2 linked regions of the Arabidopsis thaliana genome follow. The protein of the gene in region 1 interacts with the protein of each later gene in a pairwise test. Each region holds a gene or a part of one and is shown on either strand. Other genes may lie near its edges.

Region 1 (7,979 bases):
TCACGATCTCTGGAAAATTAAGAGAGAAATTCAAAAACTTCGGGAGTTCAAAGTCTCATTCAGACATTCCAGAAGGTGATCTCTTGTTTCAGTTTTTCTCCCTTTTTGTTGATTGTTTCAATATTGGTGTTTTATCCTTCGATCTCTATGAAAGTTGTTTCAATTGGATCGAGATTCTTCGCTGTTTATTGATTTTACGATACCCTTTTCAATCGTTTGGAAGTTTTTTTGGTTTGTCCTAATTCGAATTATTCTTGCTGTCTGAAGAATCTGTTTGGAAGTAAATTTGGATTAATCTTGCTTAGCTTGTATCTCCTGTGATTGATCGCGATTACGTTGGTTCTTCTTTCTGTTTACGCATAATTTTACTGATTCATCTAAATTTTGTTGCGGCTTTCTTATGATCTGTGTTCCAGAGTTTGTGGATTATTACATCAAACTATATGTTTTTAGAGTTGTTTGTTTTATTAAGAATGTATGATCTTCTGCTTTGGATGTTTGCTCACATATGGATATTTCTCTTTTGCAGGTATTCTAGTCGACTGAGTAAACAATCATGAGAATCAGAAAAGGAAGTAGAGTTGAGGTATTTAGCAACAAAGAGGCGCCTTATGGTGCGTGGCGATGTGCTGAGATTGTCTCGGGTAATGGACATACCTACAATGTTAGATTTTACTCTTTCCAAATTGAACACGAGGAGGCAGTTATGGAGAAAGTTCCAAGGAAGATAATTAGGCCTTGTCCTCCACTTGTGGATGTTGAGAGATGGGATACTGGTGAATTGGTGGAAGTTCTTGATAATTTTTCCTGGAAAGCTGCCACAGTTCGAGAGGAGTTATCTGGACATTACTATGTGGTTCGCTTACTTGGGACTCCAGAAGAACTCACATTTCACAAAGTTAACCTCAGGGCCCGAAAGTCGTGGCAAGATGAGAGATGGGTTGCAATTGGAAAGGTAATTTATTTTCATCCTATATGTTATGCTCTCACTTTTTACATCTAATATACTCTTGTTAATGTCTTTTTTTCTTTTCTTTTCTCCATTAAGATTTCCGGCTTAGTCATGATGTCCCCTCTTCCATTTCTAAGAAGTTCTGGGTCTGGTTGGGGGTGGCAATCTGCATTGTCTTGCTACGATATTGTTTGTTTGAAATGATTTTTTAACTAATGTGCTGATGAGCTTACATGTTGACTAACTGGCTTGTAATCATTTTCTCAGATATCTGGTTCTCTGAAGTCATCCACACTGACTGGATCAGACGTACATCAGAAGCTACAGCCCCACAGGAACAGCATGCCTCTCCACGAGCCTAGCGTGGTCTCTGCTAGATTGTTAAAGAGGCCGTCACCTTACAACTGGTCTGAATGTGCTGAATCATGTACAGGAAACCCTAAGAAGATGCGTTCATTGGAAAAAGAAGGACAGCAGCAAAAGGTAGATGCCATTTCTTGCCGACCAGAAAACAGGGGTGGTAAATCTCACGTGCAAGCTTCCTTAAACAATCACAAAACTGGTTACTGTCAAATTGTCAGGGTAAGATCAAAAGGGTTTAGTGAGAGTGTTCGTGCTGATGATTGTTCTGATAGCGATGTATGCTCAGTTGGTAGTTGTAGTGCTACTAGTTATGATGAGAGTAACATGCCACCTTGTATGCTAGATGGCTCTACTCAACAGGCAGACTCATGTAGCAGCGATGCTGAATCTTCTTGTGGCCTGGGGGAAGAACCAAGGTGGAAACATTCATCAGTTGGTGATGGAGCAAGAAATTCTTGTAGGTCGGAACTATATTCTTACCGCAGTACTCTGGGGGAATTATTTTCTTCTGGTCCCCTAAGTTGGGAGCAAGAAGCATCATTAACTGATCTTCGTCTTTCTCTTAATATATCAGATGATGAACATTTGATGGAGGTAAGAAATTTGATATCTACTGGTACCCGCAGTCAATTTTGTTAGTATCAATCAGAATTCAAATTTTTCTTTTTGATTTCTATGGTCAAGTCTGATCTACCTGTCTTGGATATACTTTCCTGAAATGTGGAATCAACTGTCATATATTGTTCTTTTTCCAGTGGATTTTATAAGTGTATAGACAGCAGATACAAGTATGTATGGAAATTCTGATTAGAATGAAAGTTTCCGAGGTTCTTTTCTATTGCTTTATCAGATTTCCCTTAGATTCCTTTATTGTAATTCCTGGAGGATGTTAAAGCAAAATTCATGTATCGATACTCTGAGATGTCATATTTTGAAGGGCTGTCTTCTGTTCATTAAATCTGTAATATCAATTTTATAGCACGATTTTCTGTTCCTCGTTTCGTGTTAACTTTCCACACTTGTGTGTTGATATACTTGATAACAAGATGGGTCAATCGTATTTTCCTATGTGGATTTTACTTCAGTGCAATATGAAGTCTGAATGTCTCATCTATTGAGTGCTCCTTCCTGTAGCTCTATGAAATGTGTTAGTGTGAGTTTCCTAGTCATTCCTCTGAACAATATTGATTTCCCCCTGCATTTTTCAGGAACAATGTTGCCTTATCCGGGCATGCAGACCTTTTGCTTCTAGAGGTCTAACTCTGATGCTGGGGTTTACACCTTCTCCCTTGACCATCTGAGTGGTGCAATACCATACCTGTTCTCCCTCAAAACATAACTGACTTCTATGCCATTTTTATTTTGTCGCTATCTTGATATTGCGGCTTGTTTCAGGGGCTTCTTTCAGGTGTCCTGGAGTCTACTTTGTCCACAGGGACTGAATGCTGTGGTTTGAGCAGGCTTCCTTATTTGCAGTCTGGTTGGATAATTTTGCTGACATCATGTCAAGTTCTGAGTAATATTTCTTTACACTTTTTCGTTCACTCGATATATGTTGCGGTGCTATCTTTTGTGGTGTTGTGTCTCCTCTGGTTGCTTTCTTAGAAGTGCATGATGTAGATGCTACCATATTTTTACTATTACTAGCTCTCTAAGCCTAATACGTTTAGATGTAGAACACAACGTTGTTTCAGTTACATTGGTTCTATTTTCGGTGTTTTTTCCAGACGCATAGCCTATTGATGCTTATTCTTTCTGGAAATAAGTGTTGTGGCCTACTGAGAGGTAAGTGTGCAATGGCATGAATGGGGTTAATGTAATAGATGCTCATCCAGAAAATGTGTTTGTGATCGGTGTTGATTCGTTATTCTGATTTGTTCTCATGACTTACTTTCATGGAAAATTATCGAGATGAACGGGAACACATGCCTGCTTTCTTACTTAGTTTGTCGCATGTGCATTGTGATCGGAGATTGTCCAAGCTCACTCTTCAGATGTCTCCAGCAAAGGTAGGTTGTTTGCATGGCAGTATGAAACTCTGAAGCAGAATCCATTAATTTTCACAAAGGTATGGATCCTTTTGAAAGATGTGTCGTGGTTCTTCAAAGTTTAACATGTTTTTCTTGAGTAGTTTGCTTGCTTATAGAATCAAAACGAGTTTCGTATCTTCAACCAGACTTTCTTTGGCAATTAGTTACTACTGCTACTTATGCAATGCAACCTCTGGCAATATTGATTGATTTGCGTTATGTTTTAATGGTTATGAAAACTGACTCTTCGATATAAGAACTTGTGAAGTAAAAACTCTATGTGATGAAATTATGAATGCTGAGGATGTTGTTATTACGAGCAATGAGATGTCTTTTTTTAAAAAAAAAAATTTGGTTGCTTGCTTGCAAGAGGACATCTTAGCATCAAATTTGAAACCGAAAGCTGACTCAATTCTGGTAACTACTGGCAGTAACAAGAAAACAAGTCATGAACCTGCAATTTCATTCTAATTCTACACAAGATGCAAATCTCAACTTAAATTCACTTTTAAAACTTGTTATTATTGTAAATTTTTTGAATAATACAGTTGGAAGTAAAAATCCACCGTACCAGTGTACCGGTAACGTGGAAGTATAAACCAATTCGCCAATCTCTTTCTTCCTATCACAATTTAAAGACAGCGACAAAATTAGACGGTTAGAATGCTGAGTTATACCGGGTTATTAAGATAACCTTTGTTTTCGTTAACCGAACAAACGCGACTGAGTTTCACTGGGAAAAAAAAAAAAAGAAGAAGCTTCTTTAGCTTTTGTGACGAATAGGAGGGAACTGAGTTTTAGGTTCGTCTTGATACGGCTTACTCTGTGAATCGAGAAGAAATTGAATTCGTTTTTTTCGTCTTTCTCTGCAAATTAACCCATTTGACTGTTTGTAGTTTCTTTCGCAGATTTATAAAGTTGGTCTTCTTCTCTTCTAATCGGATCGATTCTGCTTCCGGTTAACCGGTTTTGTTCCCCGGCGACAATCAGCAATCTCCTCCCCGGCCAATGATATACACGTTGACGAGAGGTTCGCTTCTCGGCTCTACCTGTAAGCTACGCTACTCTTCTTTATTTTCTTATCTGAGCACAGCTGCGCTGAGATTGGGTTTTGAAAACCCTACTAATGGAAATCCGATGGATAATTCTTCGCATCACATTGGTTATGTAAATGGGTTTAACGGTGGAGAACAATCGCTTGGTGGGTTTCAGCAGAATTCATATGAGCAGAGCTTAAACCCTGTTTCTGGGCAGAATCCGACGAATAGGTTTTATCAAAACGGATACAATCGGAATCAGAGTTATGGGGAACATAGTGAAATTATTAATCAGAGAAATCAAAATTGGCAAAGTAGTGATGGTTGTTCCTCGTATGGAACTACTGGAAATGGAGTTCCACAAGAGAATAATACTGGTGGGAATCATTTTCAGCAAGATCATAGTGGTCATAGCTCGTTGGACGAATTGGATTCGATTTGCAGAGAAGGGAAGGTTAAAAAAGCTGTTGAAATTATTAAATCATGGAGAAATGAGGGTTATGTTGTGGATTTACCTAGACTGTTTTGGATAGCACAGCTTTGTGGAGATGCACAAGCTTTACAAGAAGCCAAAGTTGTTCATGAGTTTATTACTTCTTCGGTTGGGATTTCAGATATCAGCGCTTACAACTCGATAATCGAAATGTACTCTGGTTGTGGTTCTGTGGAAGATGCATTAACCGTTTTCAATAGTATGCCTGAGAGAAACTTGGAGACTTGGTGTGGTGTTATAAGGTGTTTTGCAAAGAATGGGCAAGGGGAAGACGCCATTGATACGTTCTCTCGGTTTAAACAAGAAGGAAACAAACCTGATGGTGAAATGTTTAAAGAGATCTTCTTTGCGTGTGGTGTTCTTGGTGACATGAACGAGGGACTGTTGCACTTTGAGTCCATGTACAAAGAGTATGGAATTATCCCTTGTATGGAACATTACGTGAGCCTCGTTAAAATGTTGGCGGAGCCTGGTTATTTAGATGAAGCCTTGAGATTTGTTGAATCGATGGAACCAAATGTAGATTTGTGGGAAACCCTGATGAATCTATCACGGGTTCATGGGGATTTAATTCTTGGCGACCGGTGTCAAGATATGGTTGAGCAGCTTGATGCAAGTAGACTGAACAAAGAGTCAAAGGCGGGTCTTGTACCTGTGAAATCATCAGACCTAGTAAAAGAGAAATTACAAAGAATGGCCAAAGGGCCAAATTATGGGATTCGATATATGGCAGCTGGAGATATTTCTCGTCCAGAAAACAGAGAGTTGTATATGGCATTGAAGAGTTTAAAGGAGCATATGATAGAAATTGGTTATGTACCTCTATCTAAACTTGCATTGCACGACGTGGACCAAGAGAGCAAAGACGAAAACCTTTTCAATCATAATGAGAGATTCGCTTTCATCTCGACATTTCTTGACACTCCTGCGCGTTCGTTAATACGAGTAATGAAAAATCTACGTGTATGCGCAGATTGCCATAACGCATTGAAGTTGATGTCAAAGATAGTTGGGAGAGAGTTGATTTCGCGAGATGCAAAGAGGTTTCACCATATGAAAGATGGTGTTTGCTCCTGTAGAGAGTATTGGTAACGTCTTTCCACACAGAGAGGAGGAGCAAACACACATTTAAGGATTACAATGGAAACATGGTTTTAGTGTTCATTTTTTTTTGCAGGATGTTTTGTATTTGTCCACTCAGTGAGGAAGAAACATTCTTAAATCACAAGATCATAAAATTTCACGGTTCGATATGATTGACCAGAGTAATTTCTTTTTTCTTTGTCAAATAACATTAAGCTTTAAAACAACAACAAAAACAGTGGGCCACTGGGCCTAAAAGCCCAATTTCTCACTAGACGCGAGAAACCCACAGTGACTGTCATCATTCATTGTCCCGTGAATCAACTCGTCGCCGCAAGCTCACGGCCTCCGAGCACTGAGAAGCTTAACGTCGTCGATCACCGGTCCACATAAGCTCGAGAAATCGTCGTTTCTCATCGCGTAAAACGTACTGTAGAACATAACTCTAGTCCGACTCGAGACAGCGACGAATCTCAATGACGATCGCTTGAATCCTCCTTTCCCTTTCGATTCATACGGGACCTTGATCGTGTCTTTTCCGGCGAAAGCTTCGACGATCATTGATCCGGCGCAAGCGTTGCTAGCATCTCCGACAGAGAAGGATAGGACGTAGGTTTTTCCAGGGATAGTGCGGACAACTTGTGCGACGGCGCTTTCTTTCCCGGCGACGAGTTCGACGGCGCGACGGCCTTGAGGAACGGAGAAATGATCGGAATCTATGTATTTGACAGCTTTAAGAGACTCGACCATCCAACCAGGTAACGGAGAGTGATCGTCGATGGAGTTTGGTGGAATCAAAACACCAGATGATATGTTTGGTAAAACCCAAGGACCTTCTTCGAATCCTCCGTTCTTTAGAATGTTCTCTGCAAAACAAAAATAAACCCAACATGTTTTAGATATTTCCGTATTTGCCCCATTAAGAATATTTTTATTCAAACGAGACCCCAAATTAAGTATAAGAAAAGAGCACTCACTATTGGTGGGACGAGGAGGGAAAAGGGCTCGCATAGCAACACCATCAATGAGAGGTCCACAAGCAGGATCTTCCTCAACACCTGGATTATGTATCACTATATCTGCATAGTCACTTTGGGCCTTAAAAGCCCACGAATACAAATCCCAACCTGAGCTACTATACACTGTTTGTATCGGCATCACTGCATGGTGAGGAGCCACGGAAACGTTTAACCGCTCGTCTTGTGCGCATGTTCGAGCAGCACTGAACGTTATCGAATAGTACGACCCTTTCTTAACGCTGATTTTTTGTTTGATTGAGGCTTCGTTGCCTAGACGTACTGCGAATGCGCCTTTAGGCACGACAAGGATCATGTCGCCTTGTTTGTGTCCTGAGGGAATGTACTCGACAAAGCCTGAGAGTTCCCAGTTTGGGATTGCTGTTATGTTGATAACTTGTGTTCCTTTCATGTCCGAATGTCGTGGACCGAGTTCGAAGTCACCGTTTGGTAGTAGTCCTGTTTTGTTTTGTTAATGTAATCAAGTTACAAAAACAAAACTAGTTAGGGATTTGTTGTGAAATTTGATTTAAACGATAGTGATTTGCTGACAATAATATTTGAACTTCAACTGCATCTAGTCACCTAAAATTGACAGTGATTCTAGGTAAACAAATTCTCAATCTTGCTATTTTAGATCTGTATATGAATAAACAAGTGATCAGTGTATAATAATTGAATAAAAAGTTGGAAGTATGAAATATTTAAATGATTAAAAAGGTTAGTTACAGATGGGAAGGTGAGGGTAATTTAGTGACACATTTATTGAAAACGATTGACTAAACACCATGTGCATTTACAGATCTGTCTCGGCGTAGTGTTCAACATGTTCGTCAAGCTAATAGGTCATTCTTCATGATTTGTGGTGCAATATAAATGAATTATTTTGACGACAAACAAAATTTTGGACACACAAGTTATAAGAAGCTGTACAAATTTTTATAACACGAATTTCTTAAATACTAGAATATTGTTGGAACTCACTACGAGTTTCTTTTGTTGGTT
Region 2 (8,637 bases), on another chromosome or scaffold:
TTAACTCCTCCCACCGAGCTCTCTCATATGGTCAAATTTACACTTCAAACATTGGTTTTGTAGTTCTATTCCAGAGTTGGATTAAGGCCAAGCTAGAATGAAGTGATATATACATATTTACTGATTTGTATGACTTACACAGGGTGTTGGTTTGTTAAGTTGTATGTGTGTGTCGTGTCGTATGAGCAATTATTAGTTATTGCTATTACGATTAAGATTATTAATATTCATGATTTTATTATTGTTATTTCTAAAAAGAAATATGACTAATTCATACAATTCGATATATTTACAATGTAATTTGATATGTTAAAATATATTAATGAAAAATTAACATAAAGTTTTTGGAAATAAATAATATTATATTAATGAAATATTCTTTGGGTATCTCACCAATGATGATATTATTAAGTAGTGAAAAATTTAACTTAAGTTAAATCAAATATATTAATATTAGATAGTACTTTAGGTTCATCGACAATAACTTTATACTAAAATTTCCAAGAAATTATACATTTTGCTATAGCAAGGTGATCATCTAATTTCCATTAATACAAAAAGTAAATATAAAAGAATGTAAAACCTAGAGAGAAAAATAAAACTTAGTAGTAACAAAATGTAAAATTCCCCCAAGTTAGAAGACGTAATGGCAATAACAAAATTGAACAAAGTTGACAAATTTGGAAAAATTAACAATTACGACAAAAGGTCTAACATGTATAAATATGTGCATGAATTAATAAAGAACATTACATTGTGTCTGAAAAACCAAAAATATTACTCGATATCAATCAATGTCTCTTGCAACCACAATGATCGTTCTTTTTCTTCAAATCATTACATGTTTTCTCTTCACGACCACTGCCTCATCACCTCACGGCTTCACCATTGACTTGATCCAGCGTCGTTCGAATTCATCTTCGTCTCGGCTGTCCAAAAATCAGTTGCAAGGAGCATCACCTTACGCCGATACTTTATATGACTACAGCATCTATCTAATGAAACTACAAGTCGGTACTCCTCCTTTCGAGATCGTAGCGGAGATAGACACGGGAAGTGACATCATATGGACACAATGTATGCCTTGTCCTAACTGCTACAGCCAATTCGCTCCTATATTCGACCCTTCGAAATCTTCAACCTTCAGAGAACAAAGATGCAATGGAAACTCTTGTCATTACGAGATTATCTACGCGGACAAAACCTATTCCAAGGGAATCTTGGCAACCGAGACGGTCACGATACCTTCCACTTCAGGAGAGCCCTTTGTGATGGCTGAAACAAAAATTGGTTGTGGCCTCGACAACACAAACCTCCAGTACTCAGGGTTTGCATCGAGTTCTTCCGGCATTGTTGGTCTAAATATGGGACCTTTGTCGCTTATATCTCAGATGGACTTACCCTACCCAGGTCTTATCTCTTACTGCTTTTCTGGTCAAGGAACTAGTAAGATCAATTTTGGAACAAATGCCATTGTGGCAGGAGATGGAACGGTAGCAGCCGATATGTTTATCAAGAAAGATAATCCTTTCTATTATCTAAACCTAGACGCGGTCAGCGTTGAGGACAACCTGATTGCGACATTGGGGACACCGTTTCATGCCGAAGACGGGAACATTTTTATAGACTCAGGAACCACTCTCACGTACTTTCCAATGAGCTACTGCAACCTAGTGAGGGAGGCAGTGGAACAGGTTGTGACAGCAGTTAAAGTACCTGACATGGGCAGTGACAACTTGCTTTGCTACTACTCGGACACCATAGATATCTTTCCCGTGATCACAATGCATTTTTCTGGCGGTGCGGATCTTGTCTTGGATAAGTATAATATGTATCTCGAAACGATTACCGGAGGAATCTTTTGTTTGGCTATTGGGTGTAATGATCCGTCAATGCCTGCTGTCTTTGGGAACAGAGCGCAGAACAATTTTTTGGTGGGTTATGATCCTTCTTCAAATGTGATTTCTTTCAGTCCCACTAATTGTTCTGCTTTGTGGAGTTGAAGAAACAAACCAAGAGATTCTCTTTTCTACATTTTCATGGTTTTAACTTCAGTTTTGTTTCGATTTATTTGTACTGTCACTAAAAGCATATGACATAGACATGTTTAAATGAAAAAATATGCGAATGAGTTACACAATTAATCGAAATTCAAATCACAATCTGCTATAATCTCAAGTTTTTTCTGGAGTTTGCAACTTGTTCTATCAAAGTCTTTTATAAGTTCATTTTTTCTCAATGCTTCTTATAGATAAACATGACCAAAGAAAGAAATCACTAATATTGCAAAGCACATAATTTTACCTAGAAATACTAAGTTATGTTTTGGTTTAGCCTCTCACAGCTTGAACGGTAGCAATCATGTGAGCCATCACGAGAGCGTAACGAACAGCTGTGTGTTGTGGAGTGTAGATGTCTCCAAGTCCAAACTCCCCAAAGTTGAGATCTATGTTCACAAACTTACCCGGCAACGACCTTTTAGCCAGAGCTTCATTCCATATCTCCAAGAACTCCTCCATCACCTTTTGTGCCTTTTCCATTGATGATATAGGAAGATACTCCACCTGCAAGTAACAACACACAAACTCAAAATTGAGATTACAAGAAACAAGACAATCACCAAAAGGGAACAGCTCCATATACCCTTTAGGTGATTAGATTAGCATTGAGACTATAGGGATTTAAGAAAACAAGGATTTTTTCATCATCATTGTGATTACACGAAACAAGACTAAAGAAACTTGTAGATGCATAGTCAACAATCAACAATGTTCAATTTTCATCATCTGTCTTAACATCATAAACAGCATCAAGGATCATCACTAAAAGATATTACAAGAAACTCTTTTAACAAGAAAAATCTGTAGAAAAACAAGATTTTCATCTTTAAAATTAATCACCACTGTTCAGTGTTCATCATATCTGTCTTAAACAAGAAAAAGCTGGAAACTTTGTTTACCTCCATGACAATGCCTCTAACATTCTCAGAATGAGTAGGAACAACTTTACCAACTCTCAACCTAAAATCACCAAGCTGATACTGAAACCCATCAAAGTAAAGAGCCACTTTAGATTTATAAGACTGAAGCTTCTCCATAATCAACTGAATCGAAGAATCAGCTTCCAAGACAATCCTCTGCGTCCTGATAATGAAATAGTACTTATTCGGCTGATCCGCAAGTGAAATCCCTAGAAAATCACGAGGAAACTCCAATTGATTCGCTTGGTCTTTTAACATGGGTTTGTAATAGTTGAGTGTTGCTTTCCATCTTCCTTCTTTCACACCATTGATGCTCTCTACACATTGTGTTGCTTCGTTTAGGATTTGGCTGCTTACTGTTGATCCTTGGTTTGGTTGCCAATGTAAAACCCTAGAAAAAAACAAAACCCAAATACAAGAATCGGAAGAGTAATCAGAACAGAAACGAAAAAAATCGAGATTTTGGAAAACGAAATTGGATCAAAGCTTACCACTTGACGGGCATTGTTGTTGAGGGAGAATGACAAAACAAACACTGTTCGAAACTGACACAACAAAAAATAAAAAAAACATATGTATATGTTATATCAACAAACCCAATCGAAATTGAGGTATGGGCCGAAGGCCCAAAACAGCTTAATAAATGTGGCCCAACACAGCTTAATTAAATACTCCATGTCTCTTGATTCTATTAACTGTTCTTAACCTGGACTTCACGTAGACGAGGAAGAAGAACCTTGAATCCGACATTTGTTTCTTCATTTTAAGGTAGGGTTAAGTCTATTTTCGGTTCTGGGTTTTCTTCTCTTTCAATTCTCAAACAATAACTCGCAATTTTATTTTCACGGATCTTTTTTATTTCAAAATCGAATTGAAAAAAATGGTTCTTCACAATCTAGCATATATGAAATTTGGGAATAAAGTTACGATTTTTATATATAATATGGTTTTAATTTCGTTGATTCTATGTTTTGCTACTATGATTGTTAAAGTGTCACTCTCATTTTCAACTTCTCGGTGATTAGTGTGTTTGTGTTCTTCAAAGATTGTAAATTTGAATAGCTTGGTTTTGTTTTCTCTAATAGACTGAGATATGTTATGATGTGTAGCTAAACCTCTTCACTGGTGAAAGCAATTTGATGTTATGGTTCCAATGGAAACTCAAGAAGTTACAGATTCTTTACCAAAAGCGCAGAGTAAATCGGGTAGTACTCAACTAGATGGGCCTGGAATGGTGTCTTCAGCAAATATACCTGAGGTTTTGACTGAAGATATGGTTTGTGACACAGTGATGCCACCGGTTTCAGTTTCCGGAGCTGCTTCCTTAGAGTTACCTTTGAATGTAGAGGAAGCGCCGTTGATTAGAGAAGAAAGTAATAGAACAAGTCATGATGCTGATGCCATTTTGGTTCAAGAGTTTTCGAGTCGTTTTCCAGACCATGCCTCTATATTAGATATTCAAGGTTCTGCTAGATCAGATCAGGTTACTTGCTGCTTCTTGAAAACGACTGTTACTCTTTGTTGGTTTCAGATCGTTTATTGTGCTTACGAATTAGATTTTTCGTCTACAGAGAGCTCAAGGTACGGGTTGTCCACCATCTTCGTCAGTTCCCGTCCAAAATATCACAACAGCAGCGGAGCATTGGACTTCTACATCGACTCCTTTAGGTCAGGATCTGCCCATTGATAGTGATCGCTATGCTTTAATTATAGTTGGTGTGCTAGAATGTTAAGATTTTTGTATGTTGTGATCGTTGTGTAGTTAACCATTCAGAGGATGTCGTTGAAGGTGGTGTTCAGCCTCCTAACGTCTTACATAGCAGATTAACAGTCAATGCATCAGCGGTTACGTCTCTTCCCAACAATCATATGGGACAGAGTCCTCGGTTACATTTATCTTCGTTCAGTGACATATGTGACCACGAGCTGGAGAAGCTGAGCAGAGAACAAGGGACCTTACTGAAAAGCTTTGAAGAGACGGTTAGTCTTTTTCTAATTCTTGGTTAATCTATCTTTATTCGGTTTCCTGTCCTCTCTGCTCATTGTCTCGTTGTTTGTAAGCAGACATTAGAGTTGAAGGCTGAACTCGAGAGGAAGATGGCGGAAGCACGCAGTGAGTATGATAGGAAATCCCAAGAGGTAGATGCTGCGTATAACGCTCAAGCGAAGAAGAATGAAGCGTTAAGGAGTTTGGTTGTTATGAACAGTCTCTTGGCGAATGCTTACAAGTCTACTTGTCCAGTGAAGAGTGCAGCCACTGATACTGCTACCGTAAGAGGTAAAGTTGAAGAGTATAATTGGATAAAGCAAATGAGCTAAACAGCGACACTAATTCTCTTCCCTTTTTTTAGCACCCAGGAGCTCTCAACATTCAACGCAGCAGCAGCAAGCAGTGCAAACTAACAGGCATATGAATTCAACTGCTCCTCCTCGACCCTCAGTCACAGCAGCTGAACCTATGAATTCGGCTGCTCCTCCTCGACCCTCAGTCACAGCAGCTGAACCTATGAATTCAACTGCTCCTCCTCGACCCTCAGTCACAGCAGCGGAAGCTACACCTCCAAATCTTTCAGCTCCTCTCCCGCACTGCAACACTCCTCAACCAAGTCCAATATCTCAGCAAGCAGCAGTAGAATCAAACACACAGATGCAATCAACCGCCCTTCCTCGACCCTCTGTTACAGCAGAAGCTCGTCCTTTACATCAACCACACAGCAACACGTCTCAGCCAAGACCAATACCACAACAAGCATTAGCACAATCCAACACAAATATCACTTCAACCGCCCTTCCTCGACCCTCAATCACAGCAGAAGCTCGTCTGTTACATCAACCACACAGCAACACGCCTCAGCCAAGACCAATACCTCAGAAAGCTTTAGTACAAGCCAACACAGATATCAATTCAACCGCCCTTCCTCGACCCTTAGTCACAGCAGAAGCCCCTCCTTTACATCAATCAAGCTGCAAGGCTCCTCAGCCAAAACCAATATCTCAGCAACCAGCAGTACAATCCAAGACGGATATCATCAATTCAACCGCCCTTCCTCGACCCTCAGTCACAACAGAAGCCCGTCCTTTACATCAACCACGCAGCAAAACGCCTCAGCCAAAACCAGTATCTCAACCACCAGCAAAACAATCAAACACAGAAATCAATTCAACTCCCCATCCTCGACCCTCAGTCACATCAAAAGCTATATCTCTGCAATCACCGCCCTGCAACACACCTCAGCCAAGACCACCGCCTTTAATCTCCAACCATACTCCAACTTCTTATCAACCAGCTTCTGCTCCACCAGTGCATGGTATAGCGCGAAGGACCATGGCACCTCATTTAAGATCATCTCGAGCTCCCAACTCTGCTGCTGCACCATCAACATATCCAAGGTTGGCTCAAGAACAACAAAAGCAACAACAAAAGAAGTCAAACAGTAGCTTGGTCTATCTCTCAGATGACGACTAGTGACAAATCTTTGGGAGTATATAACATCAGTATATAGTTTTTGAAGTTTCTCTTAAGGGAATATATAAGTTCGAGAGGCCCTTTAAAACATTTGAGAATGCCTTGTACGAAGGATCATTTCGAATACTAATTTTTTGGAGAATATCAAGTAAGTTAACTAAAATATTTTTCACAAATTTGCAGTTTAATCAAAATTTATTTACATAATTCTGTTATTTTTACTCTATAGGAATTTTCAAAATACTTTTTTTCTCCTTACTTCGAGTTTTGAAAATATTTTTCATGCAGCGAATCTCTGATATCAATTTAGCGCCACGTGGCACGTGACATACCCCGATCTCTAATAAATGAACTCTTTTTAAAATCGCCCCCCTCGATACATCAGTTCACTAGTTTAGTGACTCCACTCGACCACAAACGCTAACGCAAACGCAGTCGCGTGGACTCCTCTGTTTATTTCGCGTTTTAGATTTCTTAATTCTCATTCTGATTTGACTGTGGAAAGGGATTCGTTTCTCCTTCAAGGAAAAAGTTTTATCTTTGCTGGAAACTCAACTACAAACGCGGTTTTGCTCCATTTCGCGTTTGCGTTTTAGCTCCAATGCTGGTACTCTCTGTTCTACTATAAGCTGTAGCAAGCTCCAAATCCTCAAAAATCGACATTGTTGCTTCTTCATATTAAGGTGGGTTTCTCATTAAATATGCGTTTTCAATTCATTTCCCTACATGTATGAAGAAATCATGAAATGGGGTTCCCCAAAAACTTCACCTTTTACTTGGAGAGAGCATCATTGAATTTGTGGGACATGATTCTTTCCATCAAAAAGTTAGATTTTTTCGGTCAATGGTGGAGGAAACAGGTCCTACAATCGAAAACCGGTTTTTTAAACCGGTTTCCGACAACCGACACCGGGAATTGTGAGTCCCACAATCAAAAACCGGGTTTTAAACCGGTTCCTGACAACCGACACCGGAAATTCTGGGTCCTAACAAATTTCAACAGTTTGCTTCGACCAACGTTTTGCTTTTCCTTAAAAGCAAAGTCCTTTTTGGCTCTATCTAATTTGGTTTGTCTATAATTTTGGATCAAGAATCTACAATGTCAAGTTCATAAAGAAAGAGTCATGTGAGCTAAGTTACAGTATCATCATATAGTTCTTGTTAAGATTCACAAAATCTAATATTTATCAATTTTGGTAAAGTTTAAGATGTTTTGATTATAATATAAAGATTTTGCCATTAGTAAACAGTTTAAAGTTAAGAGCTTTTCAATGATTCTGCCTCTTTGATTACTATAATGGTTGAAAGGTCACTCTCAGATTTGCAATGCCCGTTTCTTTCTATTGGTGGTTGGTCTGTTTTCATTCCATTTATTATTGTATTTGCCATTCTTTGACTAATCCTATACTCAATCATTTCTTTAATCACATTATTTTAGTAATCAATATCCTTCAAGATGCTCCATTACTTCTTTTTAATATCCTCTTGTCTGCAACTTCCTTTTCTTGACTCTGTAGTTCTTACTTCAACTTCACCACTTTGCAGGGTAATGTAATCTATATTAGCTCTCTTGTTTGGTTCTTTTAGTGTTTTGGTTGTTGTGTTATGATGTTTGTTGTCTGTATGTGAAAACATAGCCAACTAACTTTAGAGGGAACTAAAGATTTTGCAGAATCAGATGAGTGACAATGGATCTTTAAATGATTGATGTGGACCGTATATCTATCGCTATGAGTTTCTTGTTTTCTCTTCTAACTCTGGGCCCTTTTAAGAATTGGAGACTCTTGACCAAATCATAGAATGTTTTTGGTTCATAGTGGGTGTAACAGAGTTAGAATCTTTTCGATGTCTGTTCACCAACTCATTCATTCACATTACACTGTAGTTTTACCTGTGAATTCTATAAAAATTCTACTCTACTTGTAATCTGGTCTAATCTAAACATAACTTGTTTCAGGTTTTAGATTCTTGCACTCTTGGAGGTTGAGCTTAGTTCGACATGAAGGTCTTTATCTAATCTCCACTCGCTGGCAATGAAGATGAGAGTGGAAACCGCACTTGCGATCCTTTTGGTTCTCATATCAATTCAACAATGTTATGGAGGTTAGTTTCTACTCAGCAACATATATAAAAACATGGTGTGAGTTTCATTTAAATTGATGACGTTTCTTTGTTAGGTGTAAGCAACTAT

Evidence for each region.
Region 2: the proteins of MEF8S (region 1) and AT2G28240 interact in a two-hybrid assay, tested with the Arabidopsis thaliana proteins (one large-scale study listed by BioGRID).

What each region holds. Positions count from the first base shown.
Region 1 is NC_003075.7:15,656,739-15,664,717, forward strand, and holds MEF8S (Pentatricopeptide repeat (PPR) superfamily protein), read left to right. Parts: upstream 1-4,188; 5' UTR 4,189-4,353; coding exon 4,354-5,967; 3' UTR 5,968-6,141; downstream 6,142-7,979. Other genes in the region: AT4G32440 (Plant Tudor-like RNA-binding protein), read left to right, coding at 557-955, 1,220-1,909, 2,524-2,616; AT4G32460 (choice-of-anchor C domain protein, putative (Protein of unknown function, DUF642)), read right to left, coding at 6,298-6,824, 6,936-7,433.
Region 2 is NC_003071.7:12,035,525-12,044,161, forward strand, and holds AT2G28240 (ATP-dependent helicase family protein), read left to right. Parts: upstream 1-3,683; 5' UTR 3,684-3,748; intron 3,749-4,089; 5' UTR 4,090-4,124; coding exon 4,125-4,463; intron 4,464-4,551; coding exon 4,552-4,648; intron 4,649-4,742; coding exon 4,743-4,960; intron 4,961-5,044; coding exon 5,045-5,258; intron 5,259-5,331; coding exon 5,332-6,446; 3' UTR 6,447-6,651; downstream 6,652-8,637. Other genes in the region: AT2G28225 (aspartic proteinase CDR1-like protein), read left to right, coding at 795-2,003; AT2G28230 (TATA-binding related factor (TRF) of subunit 20 of Mediator complex), read right to left, coding at 2,331-2,564, 2,960-3,371, 3,472-3,485; NCRK (Protein kinase superfamily protein), read left to right, coding at 8,480-8,549, 8,624-8,637.